3 linked regions of the Cricetulus griseus genome follow. The protein of the gene in region 3 binds, or shares a complex with, the protein of the main gene of each other region. Links are inferred from orthologs where the notes say so. Each region holds a gene or a part of one and is shown on either strand. Other genes may lie near its edges.

The links.
Region 1: the proteins of Rgs7 (region 3) and Gnb5 are in contact, whole or in part, in a cryo-EM structure (PDB 7EWP), measured with the Homo sapiens proteins. The link is inferred for Cricetulus griseus from reciprocal best matches to the Homo sapiens genes RGS7 and GNB5. Residues at the interface, in NP_001351815.1 of Homo sapiens: Pro19, Leu22, Val23, Lys26, Val30, Ile72, Val76, Glu77, His80, Leu81, Leu84, His88, Val207, Asp213, Ile214, Lys215, Lys216, Leu258, Gln261, Ile262, Trp265, Gln266, Gln268, Leu269, Arg271, His272, Arg273, Leu274, Lys275, Met276; in NP_057278.2 of Homo sapiens: Leu57, Glu60, Ala61, Glu62, Leu64, Lys65, Leu68, Glu71, Lys74, Leu75, His76, Asp77, Val78, Glu79, Leu80, Val83, Leu90, Phe93, Arg98, Arg99, Leu109, Lys117, Arg118, Ser134, Phe135, Trp149, Met151, Leu167, Tyr197, Ser206.
Region 2: the proteins of Rgs7 (region 3) and Gpr158 are in contact, whole or in part, in a cryo-EM structure (PDB 7SHF), measured with the Homo sapiens proteins. The link is inferred for Cricetulus griseus from reciprocal best matches to the Homo sapiens genes RGS7 and GPR158. Residues at the interface, in NP_001351815.1 of Homo sapiens: Gln35, Ile43, Ser55, Arg109, Phe110, Thr112, Pro113, Tyr114, Phe115, Lys134, Thr136, Lys140, Ala141, Arg142, Leu143, Leu145, Ala146, Asp147, Ala150, Leu153, Gln157, Trp164, Phe168, Met169, Gln170, Glu172, Ala173, Gln174, Lys176, Val177; in NP_065803.2 of Homo sapiens: Leu507, Lys508, Phe510, Leu511, Arg513, Thr514, Tyr595, Tyr598, Ala599, Thr602, Val603, Pro604, Ile714, Arg715, Leu718, Lys719, Tyr722, Leu725, Glu726, Tyr728, Lys729, Arg730, Met733, Ile734, Thr735, Asn736, Asn737.

The regions. Positions count from the first base shown.
Region 1 is NC_048597.1:186,571,907-186,576,052, reverse strand, and holds the start of Gnb5 (guanine nucleotide-binding protein subunit beta-5), read right to left. Parts: upstream 2,847-4,146; 5' UTR 2,722-2,846; coding exon 2,610-2,721; intron 1-2,609. UniProt on the Homo sapiens protein: Enhances GTPase-activating protein (GAP) activity of regulator of G protein signaling (RGS) proteins, such as RGS7 and RGS9, hence involved in the termination of the signaling initiated by the G protein coupled receptors (GPCRs) by accelerating the GTP hydrolysis on the G-alpha subunits, thereby promoting their inactivation.
Region 2 is NC_048596.1:212,158,077-212,162,436, forward strand, and holds the start of Gpr158 (probable G-protein coupled receptor 158), read right to left. Parts: upstream 2,876-4,360; coding exon 2,822-2,875; intron 1,009-2,821; coding exon 906-1,008; intron 1-905. UniProt on the Homo sapiens protein: Metabotropic receptor for glycine that controls synapse formation and function in the brain. Acts as an atypical G-protein coupled receptor that recruits and regulates the RGS7-GNB5 complex instead of activating G proteins.
Region 3 is NC_048598.1:18,546,875-18,550,536, reverse strand, and holds part of Rgs7 (regulator of G-protein signaling 7), read right to left. Parts: intron 1,180-3,662; coding exon 993-1,179; intron 1-992. UniProt on the Homo sapiens protein: GTPase activator component of the RGS7-GNB5 complex that regulates G protein-coupled receptor signaling cascades.

The sequences.
Region 1 (4,146 bases), on a different chromosome or scaffold from region 3:
GAGAGAGACAGAGAGAGAGAGACAGAGAGAGAGAGAGAGAGAGAGAGACAGAAAGACAGAGAGACAGAGAGAGCAAGAGCAACCAAGACCTCACTGTGTCCCACCAGGCCTCAACAGCCCCCCACTGTAACTCCACCTCCTACCCCGCCACTGTGTATGCCTCTCCAGACAGGGCCTCAGCTTCCCCCCAGTACAGCGAGCATACTCCCCTGCCTCAGCTTTGGCTCACTATACCAACCCCCCCCCAAACACACACACACACTTAACAGCTTTGCATTGATTTTTGTTTCAAACTCTCTTCACTGTGGCAGTCTATCCTTTTTTTATACAAGTAAGGAATCTGCATTCAAACATCCTTCCCAGGAGCCACCCTGGGTCACAGTCTCTGCGAGTTTTTTGAGTTCCCCCATAGCTCATTTCTCTCTTCCTTACCCCCTCCTTTCTATCTAGAGAACATATATAGCCTAGAACTTATTTTACCTATTGAATGCCTGACTCCCAGCTTTGGACCAAAGCCTTCTGAGGGAACATTCTTGATTTGTTCGCTGCACACAGAGCCTGACACACCAGGGGCTGGCAAACTGTGTGAGAAAAAGAGAGGTATGTGTGTGTGTATGTGTGTGTGTGTGTGTGTGTGTGAGAGAGAGAGAGAGAGAGAGAGAGAGAGAGAGAGAGAGAGAGAGAGAGAGACTGTTGACAGAGAAGCAGGGGGCAGAGATAGAGGAAAAACTAAAGACTAGGGGTGGGAAGAAGTTAACTCCTAGACAGGAAGAGTCAGTCAGGTGTGCAAGGGGGGTTGGATCTATAAACTCAGGGCCCAGCTTTCTACCTTCCATTTTCTCTGGGGGAGGAAGTAAAAGGACAGAGGCCATCACAGAATGCTAAGTGGCTGACAACTGCCAGGGCAGAGAGCTGTCTGAAGATACTACAGGGTGACTTAGCCATTGGCCACAGAGGCCTCCTGGTGCCTCCTCTTCAGCAGCCTCATGAGTCCAGCAGCAGGAGAAAGGAAGGCTGTTGGTCCATCCAGGGCTGAGGAGGAGGCAGGAGGACCAGATAGAGTCATGGTCCCTTGGCAAGACTTTTGGAAGTTAATCAAAGTATCTGTGCTGATGCTAGGGAAGGGATAGAAGACAGGTCAGGGCTGAGGGCTCCAGGGGAAAGCCAGGGTTCCCAAGGATCCGGGAGAGACTATGGTCAGAGTAGGACTCTAAGTAAGAGGATGCAAGACAAGATCACCCCCCCCCCGTGGGTGGGTGGGTGGGGTTTCTAGAGTGAGGGGCTCATGTCACAAGGGCCACCTGTGTAGCACTTCAAAATGAATGCACAAGCCACAGGGCCAAGGAACGTCTCCATTTCCTCAGCTGTCAAACAGAGAAGTCTGAGGCACTAAACCAAGCTTGAGACAACATCACCACCTTCAGCCTACAAGGCTCTGAAAAGGGGAAGGAGAGACTGACCCCATGTCTCCACTCCCTACTTCTCAACTTTGGGGTGGCAATGTGCTTAGCATGGGCCCCCTTTATCCAGACTCCCTGGCAGAGGCCACATGGCCTAGTTCTGGCTAATAAAGTACAAATAGAAATCTTAGGAAGAGAGGAATTCTGGGAAAAATTTTGCTTTCTCCCTAAGAAGGAAAAGAGCCCGGGGTTCACATTCTCCCTTCTTCCTGCTTTGGATACAGAGGCAAAGTTTGGAGCAATGGCAGTCATCTTGGAGTCACTGGGTAAATGCCAATGGCTGATGGTGTGGAAAGGCCTGGGCTCTTCAAAGCACCAAGCAGTTGCACCAGACCTGATCTTGTTACCAGAAAAACAACTCACAATTTAACTAATTACATCTGGACACATTTCGAAATCTCACAGAAGCGGGCTGCCCTTCTAACAAGAGAAGGTCCCTGGGAAGGCATAACAGGGGTTCTGTACTTCCAGCAAGTTTCAGGGAAAATAAATGCTAAAGGCCCCTTACTGAACCCCAGTTCCCTTCTCCAAATGGAACTTAAATTAAGGCTGTGACCAATTAGGAAGGCGGGGACACCACACATAAGTGTGTGTGTTTGCGGGGTGGGGGGTTGCTGGCTAACAAGCCTTGCTCTGCAAGGGAGGGTGAGCGGGTAAGACCACTGCCCAAGCGGGGTCTCCACTCTGAGCTCTGCGGAGGACCACCCCTCTCTGACCACCCCTGTTCTGAACCGGGATGGAAGCGGGCACGCCGGCAAGTTTATTTACACCGCGCTGGCCCTTTTATGTCAACCGCGGCATCCATCAAAGGCTTCTAAAGGGCCTGCCGCAAGCTGAACGCGTGGATGCAGGAGGCGTCTCCGCTTCCCTCCGCCATCAAGCTCCCTGCCCCCACGGACAGTGGAGACACGGGAAAGGGAGCCTCATATCCGCGGGGAGAAAGGATCTAACGGGGGGCAGAGTCCCAACGGGGAGCAGTAAAGCGGTCCCGCCCCGGCACACCTGCTGGCTGCGCCTCTCCACCCGCCCCCTGGGAGGGGCTCAGCATCCTCCCACCCCGGGCGGTGGAACCGGTCCCACGCGGGTCCTCCAGCCCCTCGGAGGGTCGGGCCCACGAGAGCTTCCCCGCCACCCCCGGCTCGCACTCACGCTCCACGTCATGCAGCTTTGCCCGCTCCTCCTCCAGTTTGCCCTTGAGGCTCTCGGCCTCGCTCTTCAGCGACGCCAGCGTCTCGTTCTCGTGCAGCCCATCGGTTGCCATCTTCGTCGGGATGCAGCCGGGAGACAAACGCAAAGCGGGAGATTGAGAGCCGACGCCGGGGTGGCCGAGAGGGCGGGATCAGCAGCAGCCTCCGTGACCCCGGACGCCTCCCCGGGTCCGCCCCCTTGGCGGTGACGCGACCGCGGCGGTGGCAGACTTCCCCGGCTCCGCCCTCCGCGCTCTCCCTGAGAACCAGGCGGGGCTATGCCCTGGATGGGATAAGGGGTGGAGGCTTGGGGGAACTGAGGCTCACAGAACAAGCTGTGGTCCCAACTCCTCTTTCTTCGCTCCAGGGGAGCCTAGAGAAGTCGACACAACCCAGCCCTCTGCATCCCTGGGGACTTGAGGCAGGATGCGTCAGAAACCTGTCCCACAACCCTCTAGCCAGAAACATTCTTTTAAAAATGAGTTCTGGCTGCCGGGGTCCTGGGATGGGGCAGCAAAAGTAGGGGTCGGTGGCACACCCTGCTGGAGTCGGAGGCGTCCTTTCCTCTGGAATGAAGTCTTGCTTATGGTGACAGAGTAACAGACTACAGTGGCTCCTCTCCACCTACACTTCCCTGGGCTTAGGTTCCCTGGTGACTCTTTTGATGCTCACCGAAGTTGCTCGAAAAACCAAAGTAAATAAAATAAATAGTTCAGTTAATGCTAGCTTATTAAATGGATGTATAAAACATGCTACATAAGTGTAAGTGTATTCATATAAAGTGTAGATGTATAGCGAGCAAGGGCTCACTGGTGAAGAACACTTGATGATCCTCCAAAGGACCCAGGTTCGATTCCCAACACCCACATGGTGGCTCACAACCCTCTGTAATGCCAGTTCCGGGAAGCCAATGCCCTATTCTGGTTTTACTGACATCAGGCATGCCCCATGGTGCACAGACATACGTGCAGGCAAACCTCTAGTATACATAAAATAAACACACCTTTTTAAATTAAAAATTTAAAGATTTATTTTATTTTATGTAGATGAGTGTTTTGTCTACATGTACGTCAGTGTACCTCAAGGGCGCAGCACTCCTGTCGGATCAGGAGATGGTGCATTACCACCTGTTACCAGATGGGGGCCCTTGTGAGCCACAGCTTTGAGCTCAGCCTGGTGACTCTTCTGAGACAGGCAGGGACTGATTTCCAGGGCTGAGGACATTTTTGGTGGTGATCTGAAGCCTGATAATAGCCACCTTTGGCAAGGATAAGATGCAATGTACTTTGAAAAAAAGAAGTCAGGATTTCTGTTCAGTTCCTACCAGGCCCAGCAGGCTTGGGCTCAGGAGCACTGGAGTTTAGTTTTGCTCTCTGCTTAGCTGGGCAAGATCAGCCAGGCTGTCTAAACAGCTAAGACAGGGAGCCTGGACAGGTCACCCAGGACTGTTTATCTACCAGAATTTCTTCTAGCTTTCTGGCTTCTAGGCAGACTGGGAG
Region 2 (4,360 bases), on a different chromosome or scaffold from region 3:
TAAGCTGCTCACTGATAACTTTCCATGCACTATTGAAAAGTAACTTATAATAAAATGCACAAATAAAATAAATGGGCAAAATAAGTTTTAGAAACTTTCCAGTAACTGTCAGGCTCATAGAAATGACTCCATTAAATATTGACTAAAGGTCAGAGAGTTCAAACCTAGCCTTGCTCTTTCAATGTTAAAGGCCTAAGACCTAAAGGTCTAACATGTGGCTTAAGGTGTGCTCAATGATGCCTTCCCTAGATAACCGAATAGTTGATCTAAGATATGCTGACAAGATGACTTAATCTTCAAGGCCAAACAACAGGTTTGATCTAAGGTGTGATTACTAGATACTTAGAGAATTAAGGAAGTAATTACATCTGTTTTTTCCTTGTATCATTGGTAAGAAAGTCTTTCTGCCCCTCCCCCTTTGGTTGGGGCATATAAGAACTTTGAGCAATAAACTAGGGCAGATATCAGTATTCACTGGGCGCCCTCCCAACATTATCTTCTGTCTCTAGCCTGTTTCTTTCCTCAATCCGTACTCCCCTTCTCAGGTATGAACCAAACTCATTAGCTGGACTGAACAAGTAACAATTCTCAAAAGCTAAAACTTAGGTCATCTCCAAGAGTTATAACATCTTCAGGCTTTTACATGTTCTGAAGACTAAAATACATACAAGCACACATGTCTTCATGCACAGCCACCCCAGCACTGAAAATGCCAAACCCAAACAAAAAACTTGCAAGTGTTTTAAGAAAGCCAAGCCGATGTGGATTTGACCTTGTAACTTCAACAAGGTGAAATGATTATCTGAATGATTGTCAGCAGGCATGGTGTGTGTGTGTGTGTGTGTGTGTGTGTGTGTGTGTGTGTGTGTGTAACATGCACATGTTTAGAGGCAAAGAACACTTACTCTGAAAGTTGTTCACTGAGAAGACACGGGGATGATAGAATCCTGCTTTGCAGATACACTGATAGGCTCCAAGAACAAATCCTAGGCCTTTGATTGGCATACACTACGGAGAAGAAAAGACAGCAATATAATCGGTCACAGTATTGCTCACAACAGGAAAACTCACTTATCTATCATTGCAAATGTTATCAGAACCAGTACATTTTCTAACAATAAAATATTTCCAATTTGAACTTTTGTTTTAGGTTTGTTTGCTAGCAGCCACATTTTTTTTTAAGAAGTAACAAAGTTCTATGCCTGGCAGGGATGGCGCTCGCCTTTAATTCCAGCATTTGGGAGGCCGAGACAGACAGATCTCAGTGAGTTTGAGGCCAGCCTGGAATACAGAGTGAGTTTCAGGACAGGCTCCAAAGCTACAGAGAAACAACAACAACAAAGTAACAAAAGTCCCCATTTCTAAGCATACACCATCCTTTTCCTTTTTAAAATTTAAATTATAAACAATCTTATATATCAATCCAAGTTCCCTCTCCCTCCCATGCCCCCCCACTAACCCCACCCCATCTCTCTTCTGCCTAGGCCCTCCCCCATGTGTCTAGGCTGAGACGACCCTCTATGGGGAATGGGCTCCCAATGTTCATTTGAATACTAGGTATAAATGCTGTTCCAATACTAGGGCCCCATAGACTGCCCAGGCCTCCTAACTGACACCCACATGCCGGGTGTCTGGTTCCATCCTAAGCTGTTCATGAGCTTCCCCTTGTTCAGGTCAGCTGTTTCTGTGGATTATCCCACCATGGTCTTGACCCCTTCGCTCATCACTCCTCCCTCTCTACAAACTAGATTCCAAGAATTCAGCTCAATGTTTTGCTGTGGGTCTCTGCTTCTGCTTCCATCAGCCACTGGATGAGGACTCTAGGATGGCATAAAGAGAAGTCATCAATATCATTTTAGGGGAAGGGCTTTTAGGTTATCCTCTCCACCATTGCCTGGATTGTCAGATCGTGTCATCCTTGTAGGTCTCTGGAGATCTCCCTAGTTCCAGATTTCTTCTCGGACCTATAATGGCTCCCTCTGATATGCTATCTCTCATCCTGCTCTCTCTCCTCTATTCTTCCCCCAAGTCAATATTTCTGCTCCTCTATTTCCTGGGGAGAGACTATCTTAATTGCCCTTATCCTATCATGAGAACAAGGGAGAGCACATCGACCCCAGATGCTGTCTGGGAGGCCAGTACAAAACTGATCCAGACCCCTGAACATGGATGTCAATAAGGAGGCCTCTGCACTCCAGGGAGCCTCAGGTAGTGGATTAGTATTTTTCCCTGGTGCAAGAAGGGACTTTGAGAGCCCATCCCACGTGAATGGTTACACTCTGACCCTGGACACATGGGACAGGGCCTAGGCCCAACACAGGAAGATTTGGTGGACTTTGCAGAGCCCCTGTTGAGGGCCCTACCCTGCCTGGGGAGTGGTGAGTGGATGGGGTGGGGGGTAGGTTGGGGGTAGGGGAGGAGGGATGGGGGTGAGGGAGGGAGAGGGAGAAGGGACTTACATGTGAAACAAGCTTGTTCCCTAACTTGAACTAATATTGCTTAGATTCATAGTTGGGGTCATTGTAGTATAACTGTGGATATTTCCCTAGAGCCAATTTTCTCTTTAATCTTTTTTTTTTGCTCTCTCTATTCTTCCCTCAACTCAATCTTCCTATTCCCTCATGTCTTCCTGCCCCTTCCTATTCTCCCCTTATTTTGCTCCTAACTACCTCTCCCCTCCCAGTGTGCTCCCAATTTGCTCAGGAGATTTTGACCCTTTCTCCTTATTTCCTAACCTGTCATGCCTAACTCCTCACATTTTCAATAATAAATAAAGGTGGGATTGTTGGTATTCAGACATTATGCTGCCCTACCTCGTCACCTGGCACAATGCACTCAGGCCATCCTGAGTACTCTGGTCATCCCAGGGTTCCATGAGCACTAGTCTGCATGCAGGTGCAAACCCCTTTAAAAGACAGACCCCCACCCCCCTATGCTCTCTTTACTCTCTTTCTGATCTTTGTGCTCTTTCTGGCTCCTCTCCCTCTCTGCTCTCCTCTCTCTCTGCTCTCTTCTGCTCTTTCCTCTCTCTCCGCTCTCTTTCCACTGTTCCCCTGGGCAGACAGGACCTTTCCTGTCTCCCTCTACTCTACAGTTCTTTTTCTGTGTCTCTTGACCTCTTTTCTCTTTCCTTCTTTCTCCCTCCCCTTTCTAATAAAACTTCTCACTTAAGCTCTGTCTGCCTGGCATGTTTCTCCCTTTGACTCAGTCAACCTCACCTGCCATGGAATGTGCTATTGTCCCCCAACCAAGGTCCCCCTAAAGCTTTATGCTAACATTGGTGCTGTGACTCGGGTTCGAATTGAGATTGCTGCAGCCACAATACAGTCGATAAATGTGCTGAGAAAGAAATCAGAGAAACATCACCCTTTACAATAGCTACAAACAACATAAAATATCTTGGGGTAATAATAACCAAGCAAGTGAAAGACCTGTATAACAATAACTTTGAGTCTTTAAAGAAAGAAATTAAAAGAAGATACCAGAAAATGGAAAGATCTTCATGCTCTTGGATAGGTAGGTTCAACATAGTAAAAATGGATATCTTGCCAAAAAGCAATCTATAGATTCAATGCAATCCCTATCAAAATACCAACACAATTCTTCACAGACCTTGAAAGAACACTTAACTTTATATGGAAAAACAAAAGACTCAAGATAGCCAAAACAACCCTGGAGGCATCGCCACCCCTGACTTCAAGCTCTATCACCATGCACAAAGCTTAAGTCCAAATGGATCAAAAACCTCAACATAAATTCAGCCACACTGAACCTCTTAGAAGAGAAAGTGGGATGTACCCTTGAACAAACTGGCACAGGAGACCGCGTCCTGAATGTAATACCAGTAGCACAGACACTGAGATCAACAATTAATAAATGGGACCTCGTGAAACTGAGAGGCTTCTGTAAGGCAAAGGACACAGTCAACAATACAAAACGGCAGCCCACAGAATGGGAAAAGATATTCACCAACCCCATATCTGACAGAGGGCTGATTTCCAAAATATACAAAGAACTCAAGAAGCTAGCCACCAAAACACCAAACAATCCAATTAAAAAGTGGGATACAGAATTAAATAGAGAATTCTCAATAGAGGAATCTAAAATGGCTGAAAGACATTTAAGAAGGTGCTCAACATCCTTAGACATCAGGAAAATACAAATCATAACAACTCTGAGATACCATCTTGCACCTGTCAGAATGGCTAAAATAAAAAACACCAATTACAGTTTATGCTGGAGAGGATGTTGAGAAAGGGGAACACTCCTCCACTGCTGGTGGGAGTGCAAACTTGGACAGCCACTTTGGAAATCAGTATGGCAGTTCCTCAGGAAATTGGGAATCAGTCTACCACAAGAT
Region 3 (3,662 bases):
ATTTAGTCAAGGGGACATTTGAAATAACTTGAAATCAATGTGACAATTTATGTGGAACATTTGAGAAATGAAATAAATCTGTTTCCTTGAAAATGATTCCAAGGCCAAAGTGAATGATGTGACATCGAGACTGTATAGTCATCCTGGAGGCCCTGGCACCTATAGCTTCTGGGAGAGCCAGGCAGCCTGGATAGATCTCACTCTTGGGACCAATCCATGATAAATTATCTTCTATACCTACTTTAGCTCAAAGCTCAGGTCTGAAATTTCTTGTTGGGTTAGTTAAATGACAAATTTCCAAATCCCTGTGCTTTTTTTCTTATATGGTGATGTTAGTCACCTGTCCCTAATAAGTGTGCAGGGTTCTCACTGTTCCCTACCCTTTGAACTGAGGATCGAGCCTCATGCATTTTAGATAAGTGTTCTACTGATGAGCTACACCTTAGCTGCTCTTGCATTCTACAAATGGCTGCTGATGGATGAAGAAGTCAAGCAAAGAAAACAATATGTTCATTTAACTGCAACTTGATCCAAACGTGGGAAGTTCTGCTCTTGTTCCAGCACTTTAAGGGAACTTACATGTTCCATTGCCTTCCAAATCTAGTGAAACCTCAGTTAGTTGTACAGTTATGCATGATGTGAGAGTATCCTGGATGGCCCATGAAATTCTCGTGAATAAACACTAAATTTATATTTTAAAAAGTTGCCGGGTGATGGCTGCACATGCCTTTAATCCCAGCACTTGAGAGGCAGAGACAGGTGGATCTCTGTAAGTTCAAGGCCAGCCTGGTCTACAAAGGTACACAGAGAAACCCTGTCTCAAAAAACCAAAACAAACAAATATTCCCAGGGGTTTAAAAGATGACTTAATCTGAAATGTCTTTGTTCTGTCCTCAGGAAATGAACCTGGGTTTATGTCCAGTTTTAAACTGAACTTTAAATACTGCAGAGAGCTGTTGGCCTCATGCTGAGAGGTTAGACCATGTACTGACCTGAGCATCTTCAAATGTGTATCGTCCTGGTTCCTTCACATTCTGTGTGGTTTTATCATAACTCTTAGAATCCAAGTTAATGGCACTGGGGGCCCCAGGAGCCAGAAATTCTTGCCATATTTCCTGCACCCGAGAGGGTACTTCTCGGATAGGCCTTTTCTTCAGGTCCTCCACCGCCAGCCAGAACCTACAAAACACCACAGCACCTGTGAGCCCCACAGGCATACCTGGCCATCCTTGTAATGTCCTCTCACTACTCTAGCAAGCTTAACTTTCTCTGCAGATTCCAACATCACTCCCCTGCTAGCTGTCTTTTTATTTTTCAAGAGTCATATTCAAAGGCATCAAATTATTTTTTGTTAGTTTTATTTTTTACTTTTAAAGATAGGGTCTCCTGTAGCTCAGGCCGTTCTTGACTTTCCTATGTTGCTAGAGATGACCTTAAACTTCTGATTTTAATGCTTTTCCTTCCCCAGTATTCAAAAAGTGCTTCAGAAGGAGGGATTGGAAATCACTGGTTTTCAGTGGCTTTTATTAAAAGCAGATGTGCCAAAGCCCCGATCCTGCATAGTCTCAATTTCACTGAAGCAACACAGAAAGGGCTTTATCTTCAAACACAGCACTAACAGAGAAAAATGTCCATACTGAAACAGCTGCAATGCTTGGAAGTACACTGGAGTTTCTGTAGGGAGTATACACTAGAGAGTTGAGGATGCTGAACCAGAAAGAGTCTTGACACAGTGGCCGGCATGTGGATGGAATAAAGAGGGTTCAGGGAAGCTATTCTATTTGAACTGACATCAGAAATTCAATGGAAAAGTGGGTAAAGGAGCCAAGTGCTGAGGGATTAATGTGATCATGCACACCCATATGTAGGTGAAGGTACTATTGCGAGTATTTGCAGTCTTCACAACATTCATACTGTGATGCATTCCCCATATTAGAGATCAGGAAAGTAAAGATGCAAAGACTAGGTGATTTATGGAAGGCTGGCTCCGGAAAATCTGTAGCAGATGGCATTCTCACAACCACTTCATCACACTGTTTCCCTAACAACAGCTTCACCTTCTGTATTCTCATCATCAACGTTAGCACAGTTGGCTTAGCTTTGTAAAATGGAGAGGGTACCGCTTTCAATCCCACTGTTCACTTGATAGCAGCTGGAGTCTAAGGAAGTCACTGACATCTGCACTTCTTGATTTCCTCATCAATACAGTGGCATGAAAAAAAAAGCACATCTACCAGGGGTGCCACTTGGAACCAGTGGAACTAGTGACTAGTTCAAGGCATAGTTTAAATAAAGGGCATCTCAAAATGCCTGGCACAACTTTATGTGCCTAACCCATGCTATTACCATATTGATTTAGCAAAATATGGGCAACAGAAGACAGAGGGTGTGTCTGAAGAGTAAGCAGAGATGGGTAAGCAGTAACTCTTGAGTCCTCCCATCCTGATAACTGAAGTGGCAGTCTCATTGACAACAGATCCTCTAGACTCTAGTTCAGAGGCTGCTGCTGCTTAGATAAGATGCACTGAGAGTCACTGAACTGCAAATCCGGCCCTGCTTGTTGTCTGGATCACTGTGGTGTGGGAAAGAGATACTTAGGTGGAAGCCAGGGTATGGTTTAAACTTGGGTGAAAGGTTCAGGCATTATGCTGGCCTGCCCCTGTTACCTGGTGGAATCCACTCAGGCAGTGCCCTGGTCAGCCCAAGGTTCCATGGGAACTAAGTCTGCACACAGATGCAGAGGACCCCTTTAAAAGATAAGTCCCTGCCCCTTTATGCTCTCTGTTTCTCTCTGTTTCTCTGTTTCTCTGTCCCGCTCTGTTCCCGCTCTCTGTCCCCTCTCTCTGTTTCCCCGCTCTGTCTCTCTATGGCGACCGGCCATGGCGGTCAGCCATTTACCCTGTTCCTCTTCTTAGTCTCCCCATTCTGCCGGGCCTTATAATAAACTTATAGTCTTATGTCTCATGTCTCAGCACTTCTCTTTTCTTCTTTTTAAACAAACAATAACATTTTGGCGCCCCACGTTGGGCCTTATAATAAACTGATAGTCTTATCAGTATTTCTCTTTTCTTCTTTTTAAACAAAGCAATAACATTGGGGAATGGTTGGCAGGAGGTTCATACTGGCTCATAAGAAACAAGAATGTCACTTCCTGCACTCTGACCTTGTCCAAGATGCTGATCTGACTTAGACATGTTTTGTTTTGATTATCTAGGAAATAAGGCAAGAACATTGACTGCACATTTTTGATTATTTGATTCATATTTTTTTCAGAAAGAATGGAGGCAAAACACTATATACTATACTCAGAGAAGTTGTATGTATAAACATAGTATACATTGGGACCTCAAAATGCCTTCCATGCTGTGTCTTTCTAGGGTTTATCTACATGTAATAAAGAAACACGGTAGGCATGTAAGAGCCAACTCAAGAAGTACATATGCATGTGTATATATATATACACACATATAAGACATATTTAATACTTGTATGTACATTTTCCTGGGTTGCCATCCTCTTTATTTTTCTTTATTTTCACTTTATTATGTGTGTGTGTGAGTGTGTGTGTGAGTGTGTGTGTGTGTGTGTGTGTGTGTGTGTGTGTGTGTGTTTGTGTGTGTGTGTGTGTGTGATGTGTTAATGTAGATGTGCTTGTGGAAGTT